2 linked regions of the Schizosaccharomyces pombe genome follow. The protein of the gene in region 1 interacts with the protein of each later gene in a biochemical or structural test. Each region holds a gene or a part of one and is shown in the gene's direction. Other genes may lie near its edges.

Evidence for each region.
Region 2: of the proteins of hrk1 (region 1) and hht1, one has a biochemical effect on the other in vitro, tested with the Schizosaccharomyces pombe proteins (one study listed by BioGRID).

What each region holds. Positions count from the first base shown.
Region 1 is NC_003424.3:1,032,542-1,036,599, forward strand, and holds hrk1 (haspin-like kinase Hrk1), read left to right. Parts: upstream 1-1,754; coding exon 1,755-3,221; 3' UTR 3,222-3,451; downstream 3,452-4,058. Other genes in the region: coronin Crn1, read left to right, coding at 1-45, 87-175, 225-1,626; SPOM_SPAC23C4.04C (uncharacterized protein), read left to right, coding at 3,492-3,802, 3,856-3,967. UniProt on the Schizosaccharomyces pombe protein: Serine/threonine haspin-like protein kinase involved in cell cycle regulation. Acts in chromosomal passenger complex (CPC) targeting to centromeres by phosphorylating histone H3 at 'Thr3' (H3T3ph).
Region 2 is NC_003424.3:4,697,533-4,701,108, forward strand, and holds hht1 (histone H3 h3.1), read left to right. Parts: upstream 1-2,199; 5' UTR 2,200-2,296; coding exon 2,297-2,707; 3' UTR 2,708-3,028; downstream 3,029-3,576. Other genes in the region: multifunctional aromatic polypeptide Aro1, read left to right, coding at 1-960; hhf1 (histone H4 h4.1), read right to left, coding at 1,553-1,864. UniProt on the Schizosaccharomyces pombe protein: Core component of nucleosome. Nucleosomes wrap and compact DNA into chromatin, limiting DNA accessibility to the cellular machineries which require DNA as a template.

The sequences.
Region 1 (4,058 bases):
CCCTTCCATGATCAAGTATTAGCATCCGGCGGTGATGATTCTAAGGTATCCTGCTATTTGACTTTATTTATGTATTAACGAATTAGATTATGATATGGAAAGTACCAGAAGATTATACTGTTATGGAGCCTTATGAAGATGTTCATCCAATTGCTGAATTAAAGGGCCATAGCCGGTATGTCGTACATTGCATTAGGGTTTTAGTTACTGACTTTTTTGTATAGTAAAGTTGGTCTTGTTCAATATCATCCCACTGCAGCGAATGTTTTGGCATCTTCTAGTGCAGACAATACTATCAAGTTGTGGGATTGTGAGAAGGGTGTAGCCCATGTATCTCTGAAAATGGATGTAATGTGCCAGTCTATGTCGTTCAACGCTGATGGTACCAGACTTGTAACAACTTCTCGAGATAAGAAAGTTCGCGTCTGGGACCCTCGTACTGATAAACCAGTCTCCGTTGGAAATGGTCATGCAGGTGCTAAAAATCCCCGTGTCGTTTGGCTCGGGAGCCTTGATCGTTTTGCTACAACTGGTTTCAGTAAAATGAGTGATCGTCAAATCGCTTTATGGGACCCTACCAATCTGTCTGAACCGATAGGTGGTTTTACCACATTAGACACCGGTTCGGGAATCCTTATGCCATTCTGGGATGATGGAACAAAGGTAATATATCTAGCAGGTAAAGGTGATGGTAATATTCGCTATTACGAATATGAAAACGATGTTTTCCATTATTTATCTGAATTCAAGTCCGTTGATCCCCAACGAGGCATTGCCTTTTTGCCAAAACGCGGAGTTAATGTTTCTGAAAACGAAGTTATGCGTGCTTATAAGTCCGTGAACGATTCTATCATTGAACCTATAAGTTTCATCGTTCCTCGCCGATCTGAAAGTTTCCAAAGCGATATTTACCCTCCAGCCCCATCTGGTAAACCAAGCTTAACAGCTGAAGAATGGGCCAGTGGGAAAGATGCTCAGCCTGATCTTTTAGATATGTCTACTTTGTATGAGTCTAAAGGTACTGTTGAAAAGGCTGTTTCCGCTACAGTACCCTCAGCTGGTGCTCAGGTACAAAAACATAACGAAGAGAAGGTTGAGACACCAAAGCCCGAAGCTCAGCCAGTTAGCAAGCCGAAAGAATCGGCGGAAGAACAAAAGCCTTCCAAAGAGCCGGAGGTGAAACCAACTACTCCTTCGGCATCAAAAGTAGAAGAACCATCGAAGAAACGTGATGAGGATAATCATCAGAAAGAAGAAACTGTAACCCAGCCCAAGCGTGAGAAAACACCTGTTGAAAAATCTTTTCCGAAACCAGCTAGTAGCCCTGTTACCTTTTCAGAAGATGTAAAGAAAGAACCATCAGAGGAAAAGAAATTGGAAGTTTCTGACGAAGCACCCAAAGCTGCTCCTCTTGCCGAAAGTAAGAAAGTTGAAGAGAAAGAACCCTTTTATGTTTCAAAAGATAAGAAAGATATTTCAGCAGTCAATCTGGCCGATCTCAATAAACGTTTCGAAGGTTTTGAGAAACGATATGAGGAAGAACTCGCAATCCGAGACTGGAAAATTGCCCAATTGGAGGATAAGCTGGCTAAATTAACAGAAGCAATTAAAGAAAAATGTAATTAAGTTTTTTTGTGCATTTTTTATTTTGTCCAGAATGCTTTTTTAAACATATCACTAAGCCCGGACATCATGCCTTCTCCATCTCACCTCCGTACCTTACTACCTCAATATTTACAAATGTAGGAAAAGATATGGAAAGTCGTTCAAAAGTTAAAACTTATGGAAAGAACCGTAGATATATTAATAAAGATATTGAAATTTGGGCTTCTTTAGATGAACGGCCTTGTGCTTTGAAACCTCGGAACATTGAAAATTTTAATAACCAAGAAAGAAGTGACCTTGAGCATATTCACTCTAAACCGAAAAAAGATTCATTATTATCTTGGAACATTCTCTTAAAAAAAGGTTCATACAAAGAAAATGAGTTATTGGCGAAACGAAATCAAAACCTGGTACCTACTGTCATAATACCGGCTTCTCCTCGGGATAATGCATCAAAGTCGGTAGTCAGTAAAAAAGAGGTTGTAAATTTGTCATCTTCTGTTGCTTTATCCGGAAAACCCGCAAATAATTCCAAATTAGATCCACTTCATCGGCTCCTCCAAATAGTAGCGCAAGAAGACGCTCTTCCATTCAGTCAATTTGTTAAGTCTCAGACTTTTGAGATCCAAAAAATTGGCGAAGCAAGTTATAGTGAAGTATACCAAGCCAGCAATGCTGATGACGTTCCCGTTGTTTGGAAAGTTATCCCGTTTGGAGAAGACGGACAAGCTCAATATGCTGATGTCCTAAATGAAGTACAGATTAGCCAATGGATAAAAGTCGACGGTTTTGCAAACCTTCATCAAGTAGTTGTCGTTAAAGGTACTTATCCTTCACTTTTATTAGAAGAATGGGATCGGTATCTTATGCAAAATGGTTCTGAGAACGATCGACCAGATAGCTATTCATCAACGCAACTTTATTGTGTTTTATGTCTTGATCATTCAGGAACAGATCTGGAACATTTTGAGCTCCGTAGTTGGCGAGAGTGCTGGTCGGTTTTTTATGAAACATTAAAAATTCTTTCTTTAGTTGAAACTCGTTATGAGTTTGAGCATAGAGATTTACATTGGGGAAACATTCTTATTCGGAAAGCTGATCGGAGTGAAGAGGAAGTTTCGTTTCTTTTAAATGAAATATCGCTTGACGACATTGAAAGTGTCGATTTTCCCGGCTCACAAGATAAGGCTGATGATTTTGACAACATACTTCAAGTTACGCTGATTGATTTTACATTAGCCCGAGCATCGTATTCTCAGGGTATAATTAGTTACAATGAATTTAACGACCCCGATCTGTTTAACGGTGTAGATGACTACCAATTTGATATATATAGGTTAATGTCTAGAGTGACAAAAGGAAGATGGGCGCAGTTTTTTCCCATTACAAACGTTTTATGGCTGCATTATTTAATTCATCAACTTTTACACAAAAAGAACTTGTCATCGCCGTTAACAGAGACTGAGACGCTTATGAGAAGTCGTCTTAAGCAAATATTTAGGCTTATTGACCCTGTTAAAACAATGCAGTTCCAGCAGGCCGAAGACTCGATTCGCTCTAAATCTACAGTTACATCTGCAACTTCTCTCCTCAATTGGGTCCGTCAAAAATACTAATTATGGTTTTTGCATACTAAAAAATTGAACGGCGTTCGCATTTTTTTAATATTCCTTTCTTTTTCATGGTATGCGTTGCTAAAATCTTATACATATGTACTTATATTTTAAATTTTGGACGTCGAAGTGAACTTTTTTGGTTATTTTTTTTCTTAAAGTTGACCATTTTATGTGGGGTTTTTGTTGTACATAAAAAATTACATATCTTTGACTAGCAAAACTTATAAGTAAATAAGAATTATTAACTGTTTAAATCACAAATGAGTGTACATGTTTTGTTATTTCCTCAGTAAATCCTATGATGATTGTAGTCGCTATTATATAATTTCCAATATGGCTTTCTATTTCCCAGTTTATGATTCGGACTCTCCGACTACAGTGCACCATGATGAGCGGAAGGAGTCGTGGCGGTCCCATGGGTTTATTGTTTGCTTGCACATTAGGTGTTGCATCTGCTGTAAGTATAATTCAAAAATTAAAAAACCAAGCTTGAATATAGCGCTGAGAATTCAATCCCTCAAAATAATAAAAATACTAATCTTTCAGTTTTATTCTACAAAACCACTTTGGGATAAAAATAGGTAAATTGAATCAAACATTTATAAAAATGGCTAACTATAGTGGGGAATGATAGCCCAGAATATAAGCAATTGCGTTCGGAAATTGAAGCTACAAAACGTGATGAAGAGGTAAAGAACGGCGAACTTATCGACCCCAATGTAACAACAGAAGACGAAAAACTTTGATCAGGGTTTATATTAAAACATTTTTTGTCTCATCATATTCGATTTTGTTTCATGAGAAATCTTCAACCTCATTAATATTCTGCAAAAAAAA
Region 2 (3,576 bases), 3.7 Mb from region 1:
CTTAACAAGTTCATGACCCCTGTTACGCATCCATTACTTCCTTCAAAGGCTGCTCCCGGTCAGTTGACTGTTAAACAACTTAATGAAGCTCGTGTTTTGATAGGCGAAATTCTTCCCGAGAAATTTTTCCTTTTTGGTAAGCCTATTAAGCATTCTCGCTCTCCAATTTTACATAGCACCGCGTATGAGCTTTTGGGGCTCCCACATACCTATGAGGCATTCGAAACTGATACAGTTGACGAAGTGCAGAAGGTGTTAAACTTACCAGATTTCGGAGGCGCCAACGTTACTATTCCCTATAAGTTGTCTGTTATGAAGTTCATGGATGAACTCAGTGACGAGGCAAGATTTTTTGGTGCTGTAAACACTATAATTCCAATCAGAATTGGAGACAAACTTGTTTTGCGAGGTGACAATACTGATTGGCGTGGCATATACGATACATTTGCAAATGCATTGGATGGTGTCTCTCTTCGTGATACTAATGGATTAGTGATTGGAGCTGGTGGTACTAGCCGTGCTGCTATTTACTCATTGCATCGTTTGGGAGTATCCCGAATTTATTTGTTGAACCGCACTTTAGCCAACTCTTATCGTGTTCAAGACGTTTTCCCTCCTGATTATAACATCCATATAATAGATTCTGACAATATTCCTTCTGAAGAATTATCTAGTGTTACCCTTTCCGCGGTCGTCTCGACAATTCCTGCAGATATTGAGCTTCCTGAAAAAGTTGCATCTGTTATTAAAGCTTTGCTTGCTAACAAAGCCGATGGTGGAGTATTCCTTGACATGGCTTACAAGCCCTTGCATACACCTCTAATGGCTGTTGCATCTGACTTGGAATGGAAATGTTGCAACGGATTGGAAGCTTTAGTTCGTCAAGGTCTTGCGTCTTTTCATTTGTGGACTGGAATGACAGCACCATTTGATGCTGTTTATCAAAAGGTTATTGAGTAAGTCAACAATTCAAATTTTCGATTTAGTTAGGTATTTTGAAATCTATTTTGATACAAATGTAGAATAAAAATACAGGAAGTAATTTTTTTTAGCACTTCAGCTAGTAGAATCAGGAAGCCAATTGACGCTTGGTATGTCAATGATCAGTAAGCAGTCGCAAAATGTATGAACGCTGTAAATTTACAACAACAAAAATAATCTTGTAGAAGTGGAAACATTACTGTACCATTTTGCATACCAACTTGTATCTACTTTCGACTACAAAATGAAGTATTTTGCGAAACGTGATAATTAAGTTTATTAAAGTGTGACATTCAAAGACATTGTTTGCAAAAAATAATATCACCTACAAAAGAAACTAGTCATAAAAACATATGCAGAACAAATCCAATTAAAAACAGAACTTATAAGACTGCTGAAAAAGGGAAAGTCGCAGAAAGAGGTAATAATCCACAAAAATTATATTGATAGATAATTCAAATTTCACGAACAATTGCACAACATTTATAGCAGACAGGGGTAAAAAAGGAATTAAGTGGTAAATAATAAAGTGATATACAAACAAGGAGAAAAAAATCAATGTAATAGGAGTTTAACCACCGAAACCATAAATGGTACGGCCTTGACGCTTCAAAGAATAGACAACGTCCAAAGAAGTGACAGTCTTACGCTTGGCATGCTCAGTATAGGTGACGGCATCGCGAATAACATTTTCTAAGAAGAGCTTGAGAACAGCACGAGTCTCTTCATAAACCAAAGCGGAAATACGCTTCACACCACCACGACGAGCAAGACGACGGATAGCAGGCTTAGTAATACCTTGAATGTTGTCACGAAGAATTTTACGGTGACGCTTAGCACCACCTTTTCCCAAACCTTTACCACCTTTACCACGACCAGACATGTTAAGAAGTAGAAAAAATTAAAATCTACGCAAAAAAACGCGTAATTCTTTAAGTATAATAAAGATAAAGGGGTTTTCCGTTGACTAACAAAGGAACAATGAATTTATAGATGTCAACAGATGTTAACGGTAGGATAAAAGTCAATGCAAATTGACAAAGGATTTTATCCGTATTCAAAAACAATTAAAAGAAATGATTGTCTGAAGAGAGGGAAGTTGGGGCGACGCTGTCTATTTGTTTTGAATCTGCATCAAAACCCTAACCCTGCTTTTGATGAGATCGGGTGGATTCAAAACATATATATAGCAAATATCTGCAGTACGCTTGCGTTTCCATTAATTCTAAAGATCAACAATTGGCAAAAGTAGCACAACAGCTATTTTTTTCTCGATTGTCTTTTTATTTGATATTCATTCTACTAGCTTGATATAATGGCTCGTACTAAACAAACAGCTCGTAAGTCTACCGGTGGTAAGGCACCCCGTAAGCAATTGGCCTCTAAGGCCGCTCGTAAGGCCGCTCCCGCTACCGGAGGTGTTAAGAAGCCTCATCGTTATCGTCCTGGTACTGTCGCTCTTCGTGAGATTCGTCGTTATCAAAAGTCTACTGAACTTTTAATTCGTAAGCTACCTTTCCAACGTTTGGTCCGTGAAATCGCCCAAGATTTCAAGACTGACTTGCGTTTCCAATCTTCTGCCATTGGTGCTCTCCAAGAAGCTGTTGAGGCCTACCTTGTCTCTCTATTTGAGGACACTAACTTGTGTGCTATTCACGGAAAACGTGTTACGATTCAACCCAAGGATATGCAGTTGGCTCGTCGTCTCCGTGGCGAACGCTCATAATTTTCTCCAGGACTTTTGGCAATTGTAATTGAGACTAAATTAATTTTGATTGACTGCTTGCCTGTATTATACTGTCACCCTTTGATATGTTGCTACCAATAAGTGAAAAGCAGGCTTCGTGAATAATTGTTGTTTTTGTTCTACATTACCAAGAGCTAGATGAACGTTCACTTTGATGGGAACGGATATGTGTTAATTTGGTTGTTTGAATTTATCTTCAATTATAGAAACTTGTCGTTAATTCATGCGAATGAATTCAGCCTTGAGAGTGACAAGTTTAGATAACACATTATGTACATTAATGAAAACTAATGACAACAAGTACCTTTATTTGAAACATGATTTCTTTTATTTCAAGTATCTGTTAAATTTATGTCTTTTGTTTTATAAAAGAATACAGAACTACGAAGACAATGCTTTTTTTAAAAATCTTTACACTTTTGGTATTGAGATTTGGTTGTTATCGCAGCATTCTTTATCGTTTAATGGCGGTTCGCATAAAGAATTGCACATATTTATATGAACAAACTGTTTTCAGGTATTTACGAACTGTTTAATAGCTTAATAGCTTTGATATATCGCGGAAAGATATTTTGCAAAGACAAATCGAGCATGTAATGAACTTATCGGCCGAAAAAAAATAGACAATTCGTGAAAAATAATCAGTCATTCTTTCCTGCTTGTTATGTAACCTCTCTTTAGAACCTGGAATTGCATTTATAAGAGAATTAACGGTCGTTTTAATTCTTATTTTTAAAAATTTAGAGCTTTCTTAAGCATAGTTGAACGAGTAAAAGTAGTCCTTTGTTAGCGACTTCATAATTAAGCCTTGAAATTTATTCGGATGATTATTCTTAACATAAAAAGGA